4 linked regions of the Saccharomyces cerevisiae S288C genome follow. The protein of the gene in region 4 interacts with the protein of the main gene of each other region in a biochemical or structural test. Each region holds a gene or a part of one and is shown on either strand. Other genes may lie near its edges. The genes, in order: GAL4, MOT2, NAS2 and RPT5.

Region 1 (6,630 bases), on a different chromosome or scaffold from region 4:
TTTTTTTTGAACTGCATCGATACAAGAAGAATAGGGGGATGGGAAAGGCTTAATTGGAAGCACTGAGAACAGCAATTCACTCTGGTTGTTAGGTTGTGCTATTTGGTCGTGCTATGAATTGGAAGTCGTACGTTTTTCCCGGTGGTCATCCACCAGCTGCGTTGACCACAGGCCTTGTGGTATTTCTAACCGCTATTTACCTGTTAAGTTTTATTTTTGCCCTAAGGGAAGACCTGTCGTTGGCGCCAGAGTCATTGTTCAAACTGCAAATGAGCAGGCTATCGCTTTATCCTTTAATTCACCTATCATTGCCTCATTTACTGTTCAATGTGCTAGCCATCTGGGCACCCTTGAATCTCTTCGAAGAAACGCATGGGACTGTGTACACAGGTGTTTTTTTGAACCTGAGTGCTCTATTTGCCGGAATTCTGTACTGTTTGTTGGGTAAGTTGCTATATCCAGAAGCATTAGTTGCAGGCGCCAGTGGGTGGTGTTTCACCTTATTCGCATACTATAGTTTTAAAGAATCACAGATCCGCCCTAGAACAAGGATCTTTCGCACAGACTACTCAATTCCGACATTATATACACCCCTAGTACTATTAGTCGCAATTGCCGTCGTTATACCTGGCTCCAGTTTCTGGGGTCATTTTTTCGGCTTATGTGTCGGTTACGCCATAGGCTACAAGGAATCGTGGTTTAACAAGATCACTCCACCAGGATGGATCATCACCAAAATCGAAAAAAGTTTAGACGGTTTAATTCGATTAATACCTTGGGGAATTAAGTATTACAGAGATGAGGATATCGACAGAACTAAAGATTACGAACCGTTAATGTCCACAGAAACACCATTGCCTCTCCACAATGACAACTCCGGCACTGTCCTAGGGACTGCCTAGACATTTGTATCGCTATTCTTTCTTTCACAGTTTAAGGATGTATATAAATGTAGTATATATCATTTTATATTCTAATATGCAAGAATTTTCAGTCTCTTCTTTTTCCTTAGCGTGCGTTTATGAAAAAAAATGGAATATGAATAATTACTGGGAGGAAGACCAGGGGCAAGGGGTGAACCATCTTGTCATCTGAAATCTTGTATAAATAATTTAGTAATCAGTTCTTTAGGTTTTCGAGAGTGGCATACAACCTAAAGGGTCAACAGACAACAAGAAGGAAAGGAATTATAGGAGCAAATACACGCCCTTCAAATGGATCCCTTTCACAATGGCAATAAAAGGAGCTCAATATCGTTTGGCTCATCGCAGCGGCAGCCATATAACAAGAACAATTACTTGAGTGGTACTAATGGGCCTTCCTCGGCGGCACAAGATCAAGGTAGAGGCCCATCTCCCTTTGGAATGTCTGGCAACACTACCAATGGCGGTAACAGCAAAAGGAATAGTGGCTGTGACCTAAGTGCCACGTACTATGCAAGTCGATCGCCGATGTATTCACCGTTAGATTTCTCGCCACCAGTTTTTTCACCAAATCATTCTCAGTTACAGCAGGCGAGGGGCTATGCTGCAAATATTCCGGTTGTAAGCAATCTGATGAACCCTTCCATGGCCTCCGTGTGCGAATATCAATCACACTATCCACTCTTTGGGCTCGATTGGAGCGCCGACGACTACGTCTGCTTGGGTTCGTACAAAGAGGACAGCAGAAATAAGTTGCAGGTTCTGCACTCTAATGATCTACTGAGCTGGGAAAGCGTAGTGGACGCAGATGTGGTTTATCCTGTGAGCAAAATCCAATGGGTCCCCTCTCAATTGTATCCAAGGAAACTCGCGACGTGTTCTGACTCCTTACGGATTTGGAGCGTTAGCCCTGAGGAAAGACAGTTCCAAGAACAAATAAATCTATCTCTGTGTAAATACAATAGACAGCACCCCGCCAATCCCGCGGCCGCAGATGACATGAAGGTCATAGGCACTTTCCCACCAATAACATCATTTGACTGGAACACGGTCGATACTAACTTGATAATCTCAAGTTCCATCGACACCACATGCATTGTATGGGATCTGCAAAGCAGTCACTACGTTAAGACCCAATTGATCGCTCACGACAGCGAAGTTTTTGATGTAAGGTTTTTGACAAAATCGACCCAATTATTTGCTAGTTGTGGTGGGGACGGTAGTGTACGAGTATTTGATTTAAGATCGCTTGCGCACAGTACAATTATTTACGAGCCTCCCTCTTCCTCAGTGTCTGGAGCCACTGCGGGTACTATAACACCGTCGTCGAAAGGTTCGGACGCCTTATTGAGGCTGGAGCCATCACCGTATGACCCAAATGTGTTGGCCACTTTTGCAGCTGACTCGAACAAAATCATTATTCTAGATATGAGGAACCCAGAATCCCCTATACTAAACTTACAAGGCCACGGTTCTTCGGTAAACGGGATTAAATGGCATCCCACAAAGCGCAATGTTTTGCTCTCGTGCGGAGATGACTGCCAGGTGCTCTATTGGGACTTGAACAGCTCCTTTATGGAAATTAACGCTGCAGGTAGCAAATCCCCCAGTATTCATGGAACTTCCTTGGAGGACCCTGACGGCGACACAGAGATGACAGACGGTGGCGCAGGATCCGGTTTAAACGAGGATCCCTTAAGTTTAAACAACAACAGCAAGCAGGTGTGCAAGACACTAGAGACTCCTAACATGATGTATGCCAATAAAACACAAGAGATAAACAACATTGCATGGAGGCCCCAGAGGGGCGATTGGTTTGGGTGCGTGAGCGGCAAGAAGTTTCAAAACGTCCGCGTCCTTTGAGACAGCATTCGCCCAGTATTTTTTTTATTCTACAAACCTTCTATAATTTCAAAGTATTTACATAATTCTGTATCAGTTTAATCACCATAATATCGTTTTCTTTGTTTAGTGCAATTAATTTTTCCTATTGTTACTTCGGGCCTTTTTCTGTTTTATGAGCTATTTTTTCCGTCATCCTTCCCCAGATTTTCAGCTTCATCTCCAGATTGTGTCTACGTAATGCACGCCATCATTTTAAGAGAGGACAGAGAAGCAAGCCTCCTGAAAGATGAAGCTACTGTCTTCTATCGAACAAGCATGCGATATTTGCCGACTTAAAAAGCTCAAGTGCTCCAAAGAAAAACCGAAGTGCGCCAAGTGTCTGAAGAACAACTGGGAGTGTCGCTACTCTCCCAAAACCAAAAGGTCTCCGCTGACTAGGGCACATCTGACAGAAGTGGAATCAAGGCTAGAAAGACTGGAACAGCTATTTCTACTGATTTTTCCTCGAGAAGACCTTGACATGATTTTGAAAATGGATTCTTTACAGGATATAAAAGCATTGTTAACAGGATTATTTGTACAAGATAATGTGAATAAAGATGCCGTCACAGATAGATTGGCTTCAGTGGAGACTGATATGCCTCTAACATTGAGACAGCATAGAATAAGTGCGACATCATCATCGGAAGAGAGTAGTAACAAAGGTCAAAGACAGTTGACTGTATCGATTGACTCGGCAGCTCATCATGATAACTCCACAATTCCGTTGGATTTTATGCCCAGGGATGCTCTTCATGGATTTGATTGGTCTGAAGAGGATGACATGTCGGATGGCTTGCCCTTCCTGAAAACGGACCCCAACAATAATGGGTTCTTTGGCGACGGTTCTCTCTTATGTATTCTTCGATCTATTGGCTTTAAACCGGAAAATTACACGAACTCTAACGTTAACAGGCTCCCGACCATGATTACGGATAGATACACGTTGGCTTCTAGATCCACAACATCCCGTTTACTTCAAAGTTATCTCAATAATTTTCACCCCTACTGCCCTATCGTGCACTCACCGACGCTAATGATGTTGTATAATAACCAGATTGAAATCGCGTCGAAGGATCAATGGCAAATCCTTTTTAACTGCATATTAGCCATTGGAGCCTGGTGTATAGAGGGGGAATCTACTGATATAGATGTTTTTTACTATCAAAATGCTAAATCTCATTTGACGAGCAAGGTCTTCGAGTCAGGTTCCATAATTTTGGTGACAGCCCTACATCTTCTGTCGCGATATACACAGTGGAGGCAGAAAACAAATACTAGCTATAATTTTCACAGCTTTTCCATAAGAATGGCCATATCATTGGGCTTGAATAGGGACCTCCCCTCGTCCTTCAGTGATAGCAGCATTCTGGAACAAAGACGCCGAATTTGGTGGTCTGTCTACTCTTGGGAGATCCAATTGTCCCTGCTTTATGGTCGATCCATCCAGCTTTCTCAGAATACAATCTCCTTCCCTTCTTCTGTCGACGATGTGCAGCGTACCACAACAGGTCCCACCATATATCATGGCATCATTGAAACAGCAAGGCTCTTACAAGTTTTCACAAAAATCTATGAACTAGACAAAACAGTAACTGCAGAAAAAAGTCCTATATGTGCAAAAAAATGCTTGATGATTTGTAATGAGATTGAGGAGGTTTCGAGACAGGCACCAAAGTTTTTACAAATGGATATTTCCACCACCGCTCTAACCAATTTGTTGAAGGAACACCCTTGGCTATCCTTTACAAGATTCGAACTGAAGTGGAAACAGTTGTCTCTTATCATTTATGTATTAAGAGATTTTTTCACTAATTTTACCCAGAAAAAGTCACAACTAGAACAGGATCAAAATGATCATCAAAGTTATGAAGTTAAACGATGCTCCATCATGTTAAGCGATGCAGCACAAAGAACTGTTATGTCTGTAAGTAGCTATATGGACAATCATAATGTCACCCCATATTTTGCCTGGAATTGTTCTTATTACTTGTTCAATGCAGTCCTAGTACCCATAAAGACTCTACTCTCAAACTCAAAATCGAATGCTGAGAATAACGAGACCGCACAATTATTACAACAAATTAACACTGTTCTGATGCTATTAAAAAAACTGGCCACTTTTAAAATCCAGACTTGTGAAAAATACATTCAAGTACTGGAAGAGGTATGTGCGCCGTTTCTGTTATCACAGTGTGCAATCCCATTACCGCATATCAGTTATAACAATAGTAATGGTAGCGCCATTAAAAATATTGTCGGTTCTGCAACTATCGCCCAATACCCTACTCTTCCGGAGGAAAATGTCAACAATATCAGTGTTAAATATGTTTCTCCTGGCTCAGTAGGGCCTTCACCTGTGCCATTGAAATCAGGAGCAAGTTTCAGTGATCTAGTCAAGCTGTTATCTAACCGTCCACCCTCTCGTAACTCTCCAGTGACAATACCAAGAAGCACACCTTCGCATCGCTCAGTCACGCCTTTTCTAGGGCAACAGCAACAGCTGCAATCATTAGTGCCACTGACCCCGTCTGCTTTGTTTGGTGGCGCCAATTTTAATCAAAGTGGGAATATTGCTGATAGCTCATTGTCCTTCACTTTCACTAACAGTAGCAACGGTCCGAACCTCATAACAACTCAAACAAATTCTCAAGCGCTTTCACAACCAATTGCCTCCTCTAACGTTCATGATAACTTCATGAATAATGAAATCACGGCTAGTAAAATTGATGATGGTAATAATTCAAAACCACTGTCACCTGGTTGGACGGACCAAACTGCGTATAACGCGTTTGGAATCACTACAGGGATGTTTAATACCACTACAATGGATGATGTATATAACTATCTATTCGATGATGAAGATACCCCACCAAACCCAAAAAAAGAGTAAAATGAATCGTAGATACTGAAAAACCCCGCAAGTTCACTTCAACTGTGCATCGTGCACCATCTCAATTTCTTTCATTTATACATCGTTTTGCCTTCTTTTATGTAACTATACTCCTCTAAGTTTCAATCTTGGCCATGTAACCTCTGATCTATAGAATTTTTTAAATGACTAGAATTAATGCCCATCTTTTTTTTGGACCTAAATTCTTCATGAAAATATATTACGAGGGCTTATTCAGAAGCTTCGCTCATATAACGAAAAAAAAGGGTTTGGATCGAACGTAATTGAGATTGATTAGTTAATACTCAAAATAAAACAGCTCCTACCACCAGTGTAAAGTAGAACGTTAATAGAGCAATGTCTTCAGACAAATCTATTGAGAAAAATACAGATACGATCGCCTCTGAAGTTCACGAAGGTGATAATCATTCGAATAATTTGGGTTCAATGGAGGAAGAGATAAAATCAACGCCATCAGACCAATATGAAGAGATAGCTATAATTCCAACTGAGCCCCTCCATTCGGACAAAGAACTAAATGACAAGCAACAAAGTTTAGGCCATGAAGCACCCACAAATGTATCAAGAGAAGAACCTATTGGGATCTCTGGTGATGAAGACACCCAAATCACTGAACAAAACGTTAATGAACAAAGGCAAGAAACGAGAGAACCTAGTTCTGAAATTGATTTAAATGAGCCATTGGATGTTGAAAAAGATGTGACAACGGATGTGCAAGCCCCAAATGGGCTGAATATTGAAAAAGAATATGATGCAGTCAAAGAGAATGAGAAGGTTTACGCTGATACGAAAGAGGTTGTTAGTAGTCCAGAAAATAGGGAAGTAACTGGAAAAAATTCTGGAGGTGAGAAATCATCCTCGAGTAAATTTCTCGATGACGAATCTGGTACTACGACAGCTGCAAATGCG
Region 2 (5,764 bases), on a different chromosome or scaffold from region 4:
TAATGGGTCTTGCACGGACCCCTAGCTGTTCTAATGCAGTAACTAGCTTAAGATTTTGTTCCAAAAAACATTTTCTAACTACGGCCATTGTGTGCTCATCCGTGATTCTAATACCATCAATATAGTCTGGCTCAATTCCCTGCGCTTCTAGCCTTCCATTAACCTGAGGACCGGTACCATGTAAAACTATTGGATATAGACCAACATGATACAAAAATGCCAAGCAGGAAGCGAGTTCGTGTAGATTGTCGCTGATAATGGCACCACCCACCTTGATCACAGCAAATTGTTGTTGTGAGACGGAAGTGAAATATTTCAAATATTGTTCAACCTCTCTTTTTGTGCTGATATTGTTCAACAGTTGGATCACAGTGGATCTAGTAGCTGAAAAGCCGTTAGTAGATGAAACATACCTCTTTGAGTATCCGACTTTCTTTCTCGTAAATGCAACGGATGGTGGAGCTCTCAAGGGTACAGATGCAAATCCTGCTATGGTGGATTTGTTTAATGAAGACACAAATTTTTGGAATTTGGAAGCGTTAAGTCTCTTTGTCGAGACGAGTAAGCTAGCAGATGGCATAATGATGCAGACTTATTTCTCACTTCAGATCTCTCTTTCTTTTGCCTTTAGTGGTATATGTGTTAAGTATATTACGGGTCTGAAAAATAATATCCAAAAATGTTCCTAATGGAAATGGATAGCGAACAACAACACGCGCGCAAGCTCTTTATATGAAAAAAAAAAATAGAAGAGTCATCAATTACCACCATTCGGCCACAGTTTTTTGATGTAGACTGAGTCATTCGGATAAGAATTCCAACCAACTGCGCAAGAGATTTCGTTGAAAAAATGTGATTTAAGTGAAAAAATTAGCGAAGCAGGTTCCGTGCATTATGATATATATCATGATGATTATTTTCTATGAATTAGTCATTCTTGCAGCGCTGACGCTTTCATACGTTGTAACGAGTAAATAGACTATACTGGTATATGCTATGGCATTATTCATTAGCCAGATACCTTTCCCAGATACCTTTCCACGTCAAAGGTTTAAAAAAATGGGTGAGATTTTTTTTTCTTGCATTTCGTTATAAACGGAGAGATTATATATTCATGAGAAATAAAAATAGATAAAATTATGGTTAATGCAAACAAGAAAAATATTTAGAGTCGGATTAATTACCGGCGATAATTTTCCTTCCGTTGATTAGTTGATTTAGTAAATCAGAGGAATTTCTTGAGCTTGTATCACCCATTTGTTGCTGCTGAATAGGAACCTTATGTTGTGGACCAAAGATACCCGGTGGAGGGGTACTGACGTTTAATGGTGGTTGGATTTGCTGTGAGACGGTTTGCAGTCTTATTGGTTGGGTGGGAGTTTTCGTATTATCTGTGATTGTAATATTGTCATTTACACCAACATTGACACTCTGCAAGAATTGAACGACAGAAGCAGTGTAGTCTATTGGCTTTATAGCCAGGATCTCCACAAGTTTGTTGGCTAATGTATTGTCACTTTTCTTTGAGGCCTCAATCTTGTCCCAAGAAAACAAAGACGGATACTTTTTATAAGTTTCTTCGTCAATAATATTGGATTTGATAGATATAGGGCGCTTCTGATAATTTGATAGAGAATGTAGTCTTGCATCCAAAAAGTCAACAGCATTCCCTAGTGCGTCATAAGGATCTTTGTATTCCTCTGCAGCAAGAGATTGCTTCTTCTTGCTACCATGGGAGTGACTTGTAGCATTGGTATTGGTAGTAGTTGTCGTACTTGTGATGGTATTCTCTGTTGTGGGGGTAGTATGATGGCCCAGAGAATCATTTAATGTTGGCAAGTTTATGGAGCTGCTGTTTTTAGAGAGATTGATAGAGGTTACAGGTGTTGCTGATTGAGTAACTCCCCAAGGATTTGACCCTGCAGGGACCGGAGCAGGTGTTAATACCGGTGTTCCAGCGTTTGTATGGCTGTCATGATGTAACTGAGCCCTCATCGCCGCCGGTGAAGGTGTGCCTGTGAAATTTTCACTTAGTAAATTGGTATTTGAACCAGCGGTACTGGTAGATATATTGTTGTGTATTCCAGATCTAGTGAATGCAGTTCCGCCACTTTGCTGTTGCGCTTGTTGTTTATTGTGGAGTTCTCTTTTATTAAAAGAATCAGCTTCTTCACCAGGTTCATGCAAAAACATACAGTTGGGATTTGGGCATGGCAATCCTCTTAAATAAGAAGAACAGTATTTAGTAGTACCGTAGGCAGCTTTGATCAGGCGGCCATCCATATACGTCCCGTCTACCTGAGCTATACATCTTGCAGCATCGTCCTTGGATCCGAAGGTTATGTAAACGCCATATCCTGGTGAATGATGGTGATAATGCTCGCTGGTTGTGTTGTTAGAATGGGGTGTTTTTCTATTAACCACAATCTTATTTATCTTACCATATTGGCCAAAATATTTTTCAGATTTCAGAGTGGGCGCAACTTCCTCGTATGGAACAGGAGGATTGATGCCAACAACGTACACTAAATTCTTTTGGATAACTCTGGTACCAGATAAATGTTTCCTATTCGTATATTCATTCTCTTTACGTTCTTTTTCTCTATGCTTTCTTTCTTTCTCCTTCCTAGCGAGCTTGGCTCTCTCCATTTTTAACTCCTCCGGAGATAATGTGACGTATCTGACGTTCTCGTCATCATATTTACGACGACATGCTGGGCAACGGCCATTTAATTCTGGATTTTGTCTGATATTATTGTAGCAAAATTGACAAATTTGATAACCACAGGGACAAGGAAAAAAATTTTTATCAGTAATATCCATTGGTTCAATACAAAGAGGGCAATAATCTTCTTCATCCTCCGATAAAAATGACGTATCAAAATTGCTTAAGGCGTTGTGGATTGCTTGCAAATTTTCTTGAACGTGTGGATTCATCATTATGACTGGATTATATACGATACTTTTATTTGGTCTTTTGTACTTTTTATTAAGTTTTGGGATTGTTGCAGAGTAACAAAAGCAGTAATCTATACTATTCGAACCACTACTGAAAACCCTAGGAGGGCTTTTACTGTATGTAGTACACGTCTTGATATGCTTTTCGGAAATTTTGAAAAGAGAAAGCAAAAAAAAAAATCATATTCACACTTACAATGTTACCCGGGAAGAGACGGCAATCAAGTGGAAGTTCGGGTAATAGCATTCATTTTAGAAGCGTCGATATAATCATCGACCAGGTAGTAGTTTAACAATACATTATCAGGTTTCGCGGCGTAACAGTGATACTACTTTATAGCGTTTCACGTCTTCGGGCTCAACATTTCAATAAAAAAAATTCAAAAAGTTGCTAATCGTAAATCATTAAAGGTACATAAAACTACTTATGAATTTGGGAGGTTAGGATTCAGTACTAACACATTCTCTATGACACAACCTTTAATTTGCGCCTACAGGATGTGTTTTGTAATCGACAAATACCATAGCATCTTCATGTGTGCAAACTACTTGAACGTCTATCTTGAAAGGTCTACCATGGTATTCAGTTTCCTCACCGTAATGCCAGGTGATTTTATCAAATGTCTCTTCCTTCGATTTTTCGTGAAATTTAAGCTCAGGTTTCCTAACGGCTTGCTTAATATCTTTCAAAAGATGCTTTTCAATATGCTGGTGCAGGTGACGCACGAACTTCTTAGAATGAGAATTTGCAGCATCACTAATTTTTTCAGGGTCCTCGTGCGACTCGTGTAGCACAAATGGTGGGTAGTAATTTAATTTACAGTGCAAATGATCGAAATCATCATCTTCAGTTTCATTGGCAATGAAAGTTTCAAAACCCTGCAGGTCTTCAAAAACTTTCACGGTTTCACCATCCTCCGTGGTAACCGTTTGAACTTTTACTTCCTTCTTATCCTTCTTTGTCATTTAAAGTGGAGACGAAAACAGTCGATACCTAATTTATATGTTCTATGGGCAATTATTAGAATACAATGCAGAACTTGTCCCTTTATGAAATGTTTTGACCAAAGAAATTTGAACGTGGAAGAACAAAAGATTCAAATATACGCTAGAAATCTTTTGCCTTATATATGTGCACACAATCAAGTAAAGACACTTGTATTTTTCCACCCAGCAATACCCCTTAAGAACGCTGCCCCTTTCATTCTATATTTAATTAACCATACAGTAACTTATAATACCCCTGATTACAGGATGCATTTGTTATGGAAGTCAATTGCCGAGAGCCGTCCACATTATGCTGGTTGCCTCGAGGATATTATTTTTTAGCACATCCGCAATCTCGCCACACCGCATTTCCGTTCCTTCGGCCCCTGAATCTGGGGTAAAAAAAAAAAAAGCAGTCATCTGGAGATTGTATCACCCAAAAAGAAATACGTTTCTGGCTCGTAACAGGTATGACAACACGTTGTCAGAATACCAAAGTTTAGTCTGAACATTTGACTGCGTGTATATCGGAAACGCTGGATTTTTGGTGCCACCTTCTTCGTTCATGGCATATGTGTAAGTCACGTAGGATTAATGTCATCAATTTCATGAGTTGAGTGAAAGTGCAACTTTACAATGTAGTCAACATACTGCACCGTCATCATTACATATTTCAGATTAAGGGTGATAATGCCGCTTTCATAATTCCTATTGAAACCTTGTATTGGCATATGATACTTCAGGAAGATGTGTTCGGCAATCGTTGCTTTTACTTCGGTACTCTTGACAGATTATGTCATTTATTCGCACCAGTAAGGATGTAGCTCTTGTCTTCTGTAGCCGAATTATCGAAGTTAATGAATAATATTACACACAGCTACAGTTTCAGGAAAAATATGAGACGAGTCGCAAATAAGCGGCCATTGTATACATTATGACAAAGTGAGTGTGATAATTACTGCATGGCCCAATGCATGAAAATATGGGTCAACTTGTACCACATTTGCTACAAATGGACGATAACTGAACTGGGCATAAACAAAATTACTTTTTCCTCGATTTTAGTCCTGCTGATTGAGCTAATAATACATAGCTCGCATGTAATTAATGTTGATATATTAAACTAATAAATAGCACATAACTTATTAATGTAAATTCTAAAGTTTTATATTTGTTTACACCGAAAAAGTACAACTGAGTTCCAAACGTGACAAGGTAAGTTCTGCATCATTCTCACATCAATCTTCAACTAAAGTCCAAAATTTCTAAAAGATTTCGCTTGTCTCGTTCTACCGCTGCCACAAGTGTGTTGTCCTTAAAACTAACGTTCCAAACATTATCAGCACCACTCAATGTATCTGAACGGACTAACAGCCCACTATTTAAATCATAAATATTGAGCAAACCTTCAGATCCACTCACTAATACCTCATCAGAAACGTGCAATGCGGTGATTGTATTCAACTGCGTGTGATCGAAAAAGTGCTTCAGAAAGTAAGTGTTAGCGTCCCAACACCTTATTGAACCGTCTACAGAAGCACTGACTAAAAATTTATCGGATAATCCCAATAAACCGACTAGGGCTCTGTGACCCCGCAAAGTGTACATAGCACCAAGTATTTTGGCGCATGGCGATGCTGAATTTGTTGCGTAGGAACATTCTCCATTATTCCTTATATTTTCCAAATCCCAAATTCTAATAGTGGTATCCATACTGGCAGAGATGCACCTTTTTCTTTCATGATCGTAGATTGTCGAATAAATACGATCCGTATGTCCACTCAAGATATATAGACATTTCATTTGCGCAACATCCCAC
Region 3 (4,388 bases), on a different chromosome or scaffold from region 4:
ACCTTCCCCTTCCATCTATGCACGGTGTCTCGTACTTCCATAGAGCACCGATTAGTGAATACTAAAACTATGTGCGTGATAAATGGTTCTCTTTTACAGATGCGGTAAATCAATTATTGATATACTACATAACATACAAACATGTTTCATTTCCGTAATACAAATTACAATTGTATAATTAAAAAATATAAAAAACTTCGTGATATGAAATCACATTTTGCTATTGAGTTTGCCACATGAGCGGTATACGAACTATTCGTTATTTTATGACTTTAAAAGCCATACCGAAAGTAGGCTTGAGAAGTATGACTACTGTAGGAGTGACCACTACTGTTAAATGCAGATAGCCGTCTTATGCTCTTCCCTTGTTCTTCTGAATTGGGAATGCATAGCTTGAAACATCAATCTTAATAAGGTCTTGTTTGTTTCTGCTTGGCTTTCATAGTAGCAAATAGTTTCGACCTTAATGTAAGAAATAAAAGCAATCGTTAATTTGAGTAAAGATAACCACTCTTCCTCTTCTACTATCAATATAATAAGAATAACGCTTATGGTTTATTTTAGCTTTTTTGAAAGCTAAACATTAAAAAAGAATAAAAATGCACGGCATACCTACATATTTTAAAAACATATATTTTATGATTGACTTTAGCAAAAGTTGGCGCTGGGTACTTTGAGACTCTTTCCTACAAAACGTTACCAACACTTGCTAGTCTAATCTAATCTACTTAATCAAGGTTTTAGTGGCGTACCATGTGACGGCCATCAAATGCCATCAGTTCTACAAGTTCACATATATTTATATATAACTATTCTCCTAACTTGTATAATATTATACCGAGACAGAGGATAGATTCAATTGATTTCACATACCGGATTATGTTCCTTCCCAAGTTCTCAATCTTATTTAGACTTTTTTTTTTAATTACATTGTCGCCCACTTCGGCAGAAAAAATATAACGACAAAGTAATGGCATCGCATCGACCTAATGAAATACTACTGGCAGACGGTATGGAGAGCTCAAAAATTCCCAAAGCAGAAAACAATACTGATTTCTGATACTAAAACGAGATAGGTTAATAGCAAAATCGGGATGGTAAACGTGAAAGTGGAGTTTCTAGGTGGACTTGATGCTATTTTTGGAAAACAAAGAGTACATAAAATTAAGATGGACAAAGAAGATCCTGTCACAGTGGGCGATTTGATTGACCACATTGTATCTACTATGATCAATAACCCTAATGACGTTAGTATCTTCATCGAAGATGATTCTATAAGACCCGGTATCATCACATTAATCAACGACACCGATTGGGAGCTCGAAGGCGAAAAAGACTACATATTGGAAGACGGTGACATCATCTCTTTTACTTCAACATTACATGGTGGTTAAAAATAGCAGCAAATAATTTTTAAGAAGCAGCTACATATATATATATAAAGTGCTGTACAGCTTGAATGAATCACAAGTTAGATAACGTAGGTAATATGCAGATAGTATAAAAAGTAATAGTAATAACTGGATTGGTTTTTTTTAGTACATGACGAAGATTATAGCTCTTGTATCCTACAACCCAAAAGACCTCTACCATTCCAGTTTCTCGAAGGTGTTAGCGATGTCTTTAGGATTTGCCCTTCTCTCAAGAGAAGGACGGGAAGTGGCCTGTCTTCATTTTTCATTACAACCATCTGAATGTTTTGAAGTTTAGAGTGGTTTGCCGCATGCACATTACCAATAGAAATCAGCTTATCATCAACCTTTATGTCTGCTTTATCTGAAGGGCTACCGGGTACTACCTCACTGATAAATGCAAAAGGGATGGTATACTGAATAGCTTGATCGTCGTTATTCCTTCTTGCATCTTGGTTTGACTTAACGTTCATATTATCAAAGTGCTGGTTTAGTAAGACGTGTGATCTTTGCAAAAGGTGATTTAAATCATTCTTCAGCATATTAACATTCTTTCTGATCATAGTGACTTGCAATACATCGACATCCGAACGAGGATACCCGTCTGGCGTCACCAACGCAGAGTCCATGCCGATGCCTTGCTGCTCAAGCACACTGAAATACGCCTCTAGTTGTGTCTCAATATCTGTCTTTAGAACCATCAATTCCGACAGTTTGAAGCTGTCTATTTGACTAATTCTTGATGTTAGGCTCGGATCTATCTTAACATTGGCCAACAATTTACTTAATTCTTCTTCCTCCATTGTAGTTCGTTCTTATTCTAATTCTTGCTCCTTTTTACTCTGGTGATAACTTTTCTATCTCTCAATGCTGAACATTTTTTTTCCCTTTATTATCCAATATTCCAACCGTTATAAAGTAAGCCTTATCGAACACAATCCACGGCGCACGCAAGGGACAGCAAATTTCGAGAATTAATGAATAGCCAGTAGTAAGATCCGTATTGATAAAGGTCATAGATCCCAACCTTTATGTGAGCCAGCCCGAAGGGCCCTTTAAATGACTCTCATAATATGGTCCAATAGCACCAATTTCTAGGGGTTACCCACCGGCCTAGTGCTTAATCGAATTCTGAAAAGAATCTCTACTACAGACTGCCAACCGTAATAGTAGTGAGATCAACACTGAAGGCAGCAGTCTTTAGCACAATGACACAGACTGATAATCCTGTCCCCAACTGCGGTTTACTGCCCGAGCAGCAGTATTGCTCTGCAGACCATGAAGAGCCACTGTTGTTGCATGAAGAACAATTGATATTCCCTGATCATTCCTCCCAACTGTCCTCAGCAGATATCATCGAGCCCATCAAGATGAACAGCAGTACTGAGTCAATTATAGGGACAACGCTGCGAAAGAAATGGGTACCACTATCCTCAACTCAGATCACAGCTCTTTCCGGCGCATTTGCTGGATTCTTATCAGGTGTGGCAGTATGTCCCCTCGATGTTGCCAAAACGCGATTGCAAGCACAAGGACTACAAACTAGGTTCGAGAACCCCTACTATAGGGGGATAATGGGGACATTAAGTACTATAGTAAGAGACGAAGGCCCGCGGGGCCTCTACAAAGGGCTGGTACCGATTGTCCTGGGCTACTTCCCAACCTGGATGATATACTTCTCCGTGTATGAATTCAGCAAAAAGTTCTTTCACGGCATCTTCCCACAGTTTGATTTTGTTGCTCAGTCATGTGCTGCAATCACGGCAGGCGCTGCATCTACCACCTTGACCAACCCAATCTGGGTTGTGAAGACAAGACTTATGCTGCAATCAAACCTCGGTGAGCACCCCACACATTACAAAGGCACTTTCGATGCATTCAGAAAGCTATTTTATCAGGAAGGGTTTAAAGCATTATATGCGGGGCTGGTCCCCTCATTATTAGGGCTATTTCATGTGGCTATCCATTTCCCTATATACGAAGATTTGAAGGTAAGATTTCACTGCTATTCTCGGGAGAACAACACCAACTCCATCAACTTGCAACGGTTGATCATGGCATCGTCCGTCTCTAAGATGATTGCATCAGCAGTAACATATCCGCACGAAATTTTACGAACCAGAATGCAACTGAAATCAGATATACCAGATTCCATTCAACGACGTCTGTTCCCCCTCATTAAAGCAACTTATGCACAAGAGGGACTAAAGGGATTTTATTCTGGATTTACTACTAACCTAGTACGAACCATTCCGGCCTCGGCAATCACTCTAGTGTCCTTTGAGTATTTCAGAAACCGCCTAGAAAATATTAGCACTATGGTAATTTAAAGCCTTAAAATTCACACACGCCACACATTGAGTGTGCTATGAATATGCCTGCGCTAATATTTTAGGTATTACAGCTTGTAAATATACCAAATAAGGTAAGCCTCTCTTTTCCTAATACTAAAAGGATTTGCATCGAACAGCCCACCAAATGCTTTGCGCACACATTATATACACCCACATGATTCTATAGACAAAATATACTTATACATTTTCATAGTCTTGACAATATTCTACATTGGCCGTTTTCTTGGCACTATTTTAGCTTATCCTTACCAAAATAGTCTCTTTTTTAAATACTATTTTTGAAGCGGAAATAGGTGCGAACAAATGAATGGCTTCAATTTAGTGCGATAAAGACGTAAAGCATAAACCAGTGAAGATCATAGCACTAAGAAGGCGCCTGTACTGTTCCTCGTGTTGATACTCATTTCCTTATTTATTTTCCTCAAGAAATTCTATCCAGGAAAGAAAAATACTATCTATAAAAACTAGCTGTAAGGCAGCAGCCATGAAAATGAATCTGAAAAGGCTCGTAGTTACCTTCTTCTCATGCATCACCTTTCTGCTGAAATTCACTATAGCCGCCGCTGAACCACCAGAGGGCTTTCCAGAGCCCTTAAATCCAACAAACTTCAAAGAAGAGCTA
Region 4 (5,006 bases):
CCTCCTTTCTTTCCATCGACAATAAACCAGGGTCTAATGAACCTCCGTAACCAGTATTTCTAAACACAGCAAATTCTAATGTGCTGTCAAAAGTAAGCGACACGTTCCCTGGTATGTATCTCTTGGATGCTGGTTTTATTAATGGTTGTTTATCCCCGATTCCAATTCCGCCACCAATTGTATTGAAATAGATCGTGCCTTTTTGGTTGACTTTATAAATATCCTGCCTGGGTGATATTTCTATTATTCTCGTATTCAGATCGCCAAAATAATCTTTATTTGTTACTTTCCACGGATCGTCTATGTACACAGCGAAAGTAGTTTTCCTTTTATTCAAATGCGATGCATCCATCATTTGATCTGACTCTTTCAATTTAGGAAATTCTTCAAGAAAATGGCGGTATCTTGGATTCTTCTCAGCTGCGTATTCTTCAGAATTTGTTATCCTCATTCCGCTAACAACTAAAATCGAAGGCGCCATCCATTTGAACACCTTTGCTTGCAAAGACCTCATTGAGAAGCCACTTTTCCTGCCGATGTATAAACTTTGTAGCTTATGAATAAATAATTCCTTTGGTAGTCCCGTCGATAACTGTGCCAACAGTGCTGGAGTCATAACTTTAGAATCCTGAATAGACGATAAGTTTGTGTCATGATCAACTAAATCGTGCTGCAAATAAAAAAAATGCTCCATTAAATTCTCTAATGGTTTTAATAGATTGGGCATTACAGTTCTTATTGCAGTTGAAAATTGTTGAAACGTTATGGAATGTGATTCTATATCGCCCACCACGTCTGGATTCATAGTTCTAAGGAGATTGAGTGCTGAGACTTTGAAATTGCCCCATTGATCATGAGTCTCTGTATTATCCAATTTAGAATTGGTGGTTGGACAATCAACTGTTAAAATTAAAAGCCAAGTTAAAAACTGAAGCATAAAATCAGCAGGAATGCACAGCATTTCTGTATCAACATCATCAAACCCAGTTATTATTTGTTTTATAGTCAACTCCTTGTTTCCGTCGTTTTCACTTTCTTCGGAGAGTTCTTCTTTGTCAGTTTTCTGAAGTGATAAAGAGATAAACAGCAGTTTTAGTTGATCATAGGACTTGGTTTTCAAGAATTTGGCACATCGTGCCCTGTTTAACAACAAAATGCATTTTAATAACCCATATCCCGTAATTGGTTCGTAAGATGATTTCATTAATGGGAAGTTGCTCAAAACCCTCAACATGTTAGTCACTATCCCAACAATCATGGCATGATTCTGCGGAAAATAAAGTGAGTTGCATAAAGCTTTGTGAGAAATTGGAGTGTTTAGATCTTCAATTTGCAAATTTCCCTTAAAACTGACTAATTCTGGAATAGTGACCTGTTGCTGTGCTTTGTTATTGAAATATGCCAAAATATCTTTGCTATTTGTGAATTTTTTTGAGTGGGAAGAACCCTCTTCGTTACTGGAACTGATTGAAGAAGACTGTCCCATAATACTACAACAAATATTACCTGGTCCGGTTGCTTTAGTAGTACTCCTTCAGTCTGCAAGCCTGTTTAAATTTAATGCTTTGGTAAGATTAATCAATCGTTATATGAAAAGTAGAATGGTGCCGATATCTTACTTCTACCTGTTTTACTCCCTTTCTGCAGCCTATTAATATGTCACTAAATCATCTACAGATGTGTGCTGTATATGGAGCTCTGCAAGTTAAATACTCAAAGCACCCGTAGCCGTCGATGCGTCTTGTTCTCCTACGCTTTTCTCTTTCCTTCAATGCATCCTTGAAAATTGCGAAAGTGCCAACGAAAAAGAAAAATACAGTAAAAAAAAAAGTCAAACGCCAATGAATATATACCTGTTGCTACGCTTTCGGTTTCATCAAATAATAAGTAGTATACAATTAGCCATATACAGTATCAATAATAAGGAAGTTACGCGACTTTAAATAAAAGGATTGTTCTAATATGTAGATATGTGAATGGCGGCTTGATAAATCAAAATATTATTATTTTTATGCATAAAAGGATACCGATTTCGATTTTCTTGCTTGAACTTCACTTATACCCTCAACGAAATCTTCGTGTTTAACGGAAGATTGCCCATTCCTTAAGGCAATCATACCTGCCTCCACAGTTACCGCCTTTAACTGGGCACCATTAAACTCATCAGTAGACCTGGCAAGTTCTTGCCAGTTAATATCATCATCAGTGGTCATTTTTCTTGAATGAATTTGTAAAATTTGAGCTCTCGAGTCTTCGGATGGGAGTGGGAATTCAATTTTTCTATCCAATCTTCCTGATCTTAACAAAGCAGGATCTAAAACATCAACTCTATTGGTAGCCGCCAAGACTTTGACACGATCATCGGAGCTAAAGCCATCCAATTGATTCAATAATTCCAGCATGGTTCTTTGCACTTCCCTATCACCGGATTTTTCAGAATCAAATCTCTTAGTACCAATGGCATCCAATTCGTCAATGAAAATAATAGTTGGTGCCTTTTCCTTGGCCAGTGCAAAAGCATCGCGGACTAGTTTAGCACCTTCACCGATATACATTTGTACCAATTGAGGTGCTGCCAGCTTCAAAAAAGTAGCATTCGTCTGAGCCGCGCAAGCACGAGCTAATAAAGTTTTACCTGTACCCGGAGGCCCGTACATTAGGGCACCCTTGGGCGCTCTAATTCCCATATCTTTGAATTTATCTGCACGTTTCATAGGTAACACAATGGCCTCCACCAGCTCTTCAATCTGTTTATCCAACCCACCCACGTCCGAGTAAGTTTCTGTGGGTTTTTCATCTACCTCCATAGCTTTTACACGAGAATCAAATTCAGAGGGTAAAGTATCCAAAATCAAATACGAGTCTTTATTCACACCTACCAGGTCATTTGGCTTAAGTTTATCAGGATCTACTAAACCGACCATGGGCAAGAAAACAGTCTGTCTAGAAGAAGTCTTGACTACAGCAGCTTTGCCAACAGCGGTGTTATCTAAGTTGACATTACCACCTTGTGTAGTAGATTCACTATTTTCTTTGTCTTCAATCTCATTCATATCCATGACCTCGACAACGTTAGCCACAAGGTACGGTAACTGTCTATTATTCTTGATTTTTTCCTTATTGTCCTTAATCTTCTCGAGCATAACGTTGTTTTCATGGGACAGTCTTTGCAATTCAGATCTAAAAATACGAATTTCATTGTCCAAGAGCTTGGCTCTTGTTTGAAGCTCCTGCGTCGAAAGATTCAAAATCTCTTGATCTAATTCATCGTCTCCTGGTAAAGTTTGAGCATCCAATTCTTCCAAGGTGGCCATCTTAAACTAAAATCAAAACTTTCCAATTTGTTCTCACCTCTATAATGCACAAATAAGTCACTCGTATAAACGTTTTAGACAAACTCCTGATGTGCCCTTTTTACCCAAGAGTTCATTAATGGGGTCCTTTTCAGTAAAATATACATTAATTCATTTTTGCCACCACATATTGGCCGGGTAACTACATGATTAAACCATTGCTAATAAAAGGAATTCGCCAAGGCTGCCGACCAACAACCATTACTGACGTTATTTTTTTACGAACATACTCACTAGGTAAACCAGGTATATATATTAAACATAGTATAAAGTATCAGCCACTAATTGCACTCGTCTCTTTTGGGCTTTCGTCTTTTTTAAATTTTTTTTTCTCTATTACAGTAACTAATCGCAAACAAATCAGGCATCTGTGTATATTCGTTGGAATCTCAATGCCAACGGCATCACATTGCAGAAAGTAGAAGCTGCAAAATACATACTACTGATATATAGCATGCTTATTATCATCACTATATACGTGAATATCGTGTTTCACGAAATTTGCCATTTTTTTTGCAAAATTATTGCACAGGCTCTTCTGGCAGAACTCATCACCAGATCAAATAACAGAAGAGGTTAAACTTGCCCTTTTACTATAGCTTACCTTACTATTCTTTGCATATATTAATCGTACAATATCGTTGATTTGGGGAAGATTGCTTAGTTTGTTGTGGCTAGAGTTTTTGTTGATTGCAGACAGTATACTAGATCATTTTTTTCTTTTCCATCTGCACTAAATTTTTAAACTCATCACTGGTTGGTTACATAGTTGTTCCTTTATTGTGTTCAATACTATCTGCTTTCTCCAAAACTGTAAGCGAGTCCCGCAATTTCGAAGAATTCGATGAAGGAAGTCGTTGTAAGTGAAACCCCGAAAAGGATTAAAGGGCTGGAATTTAGCGCTTTAAGCGCTGCCGATATTGTCGCCCAGTCTGAAGTGGAAGTGTCTACAAGAGATCTCTTCGATTTAGAAAAAGATCGTGCTCCTAAGGCGAACGGTGCTTTAGACCCCAAGATGGGTGTCTCTTCCTCCAGTCTTGAATGTGCAACCTGTCACGGCAACTTGGCATCGTGTCATGGCCATTTTGGTCACTTAAAATTAGCTTTGCCTGTTTTCCACATTGGGTACTTCAAAGCCACCATTCAAATACTGCAAGGTATCTGTAAAAACTGTTCTGCCATATTGTTATCAGAAACAGATAAAAGACAATTTTTGCATGAACTTCGTCGTCCAGGCGTAGATAATTTAAGACGTATGGGTATATTGAAGAAGATTTTGGACCAATGTAAAAAGCAAAGAAGGTGTCTGCATTGTGGTGCTCTTAATGGTGTCGTGAAAAAAGCCGCTGCTGGTGCTGGTTCAGCCGCGTTGAAGATTATCCATGATACATTTCGTTGGGTAGGTAAAAAGTCCGCTCCTGAAAAGGATATTTGGGTGGGAGAATGGAAGGAAGTTCTTGCTCATAATCCAGAACTAGAGCGTTATGTGAAACGTTGTATGGATGATTTAAATCCACTGAAAACTTTAAATCTTTTCAAGCAAATTAAGTCTGCAGATTGTGAGCTGCTTGGTATAGATGCAACAGTTCCCTCTGGTAGACCAGAGACTTACATATGGAGATATTTACCCGCACCTCCGGTTTGTATAAGGCC

Evidence for each region.
Region 1: the proteins of RPT5 (region 4) and GAL4 form a complex in vitro, tested with the Saccharomyces cerevisiae proteins (one study listed by BioGRID).
Region 2: of the proteins of RPT5 (region 4) and MOT2, one has a biochemical effect on the other in vitro, tested with the Saccharomyces cerevisiae proteins (one study listed by BioGRID).
Region 3: the proteins of RPT5 (region 4) and NAS2 form a complex in vitro, tested with the Saccharomyces cerevisiae proteins (3 studies listed by BioGRID, with this or other methods).

Annotation. Positions count from the first base shown.
Region 1 is NC_001148.4:78,781-85,410, reverse strand, and holds GAL4 (galactose-responsive transcription factor GAL4), read left to right. Parts: upstream 1-3,054; coding exon 3,055-5,700; downstream 5,701-6,630. Other genes in the region: putative rhomboid protease RBD2, read left to right, coding at 114-902; YPL247C (uncharacterized protein), read left to right, coding at 1,215-2,786; GTPase-activating protein GYP5, read left to right, coding at 6,058-6,630. UniProt on the Saccharomyces cerevisiae protein: This protein is a positive regulator for the gene expression of the galactose-induced genes such as GAL1, GAL2, GAL7, GAL10, and MEL1 which code for the enzymes used to convert galactose to glucose.
Region 2 is NC_001137.3:290,226-295,989, reverse strand, and holds MOT2 (CCR4-NOT core ubiquitin-protein ligase subunit MOT2), read right to left. Parts: upstream 2,941-5,764; coding exon 1,177-2,940; downstream 1-1,176. Other genes in the region: ARG56 (bifunctional acetylglutamate kinase/N-acetyl-gamma-glutamyl-phosphate reductase), read right to left, coding at 1-580; RGI1 (Rgi1p), read right to left, coding at 3,439-3,924; RRT13 (Rrt13p), read right to left, coding at 5,191-5,748. UniProt on the Saccharomyces cerevisiae protein: E3 ubiquitin-protein ligase component of the CCR4-NOT core complex, which in the nucleus seems to be a general transcription factor, and in the cytoplasm the major mRNA deadenylase involved in mRNA turnover.
Region 3 is NC_001141.2:341,442-345,829, forward strand, and holds NAS2 (Nas2p), read right to left. Parts: upstream 2,216-4,388; coding exon 1,553-2,215; downstream 1-1,552. Other genes in the region: ubiquitin-related modifier URM1, read left to right, coding at 1,095-1,394; YIA6 (NAD+ transporter), read left to right, coding at 2,621-3,742; protein disulfide isomerase EPS1, read left to right, coding at 4,251-4,388. UniProt on the Saccharomyces cerevisiae protein: Acts as a chaperone during the assembly of the 26S proteasome, specifically of the base subcomplex of the 19S regulatory complex (RC).
Region 4 is NC_001147.6:543,337-548,342, reverse strand, and holds RPT5 (proteasome regulatory particle base subunit RPT5), read right to left. Parts: upstream 3,315-5,006; coding exon 2,010-3,314; downstream 1-2,009. Other genes in the region: RTC5 (Rtc5p), read right to left, coding at 1-1,486; DNA-directed RNA polymerase III core subunit RPO31, read left to right, coding at 4,198-5,006. UniProt on the Saccharomyces cerevisiae protein: The 26S proteasome is involved in the ATP-dependent degradation of ubiquitinated proteins. The regulatory (or ATPase) complex confers ATP dependency and substrate specificity to the 26S complex.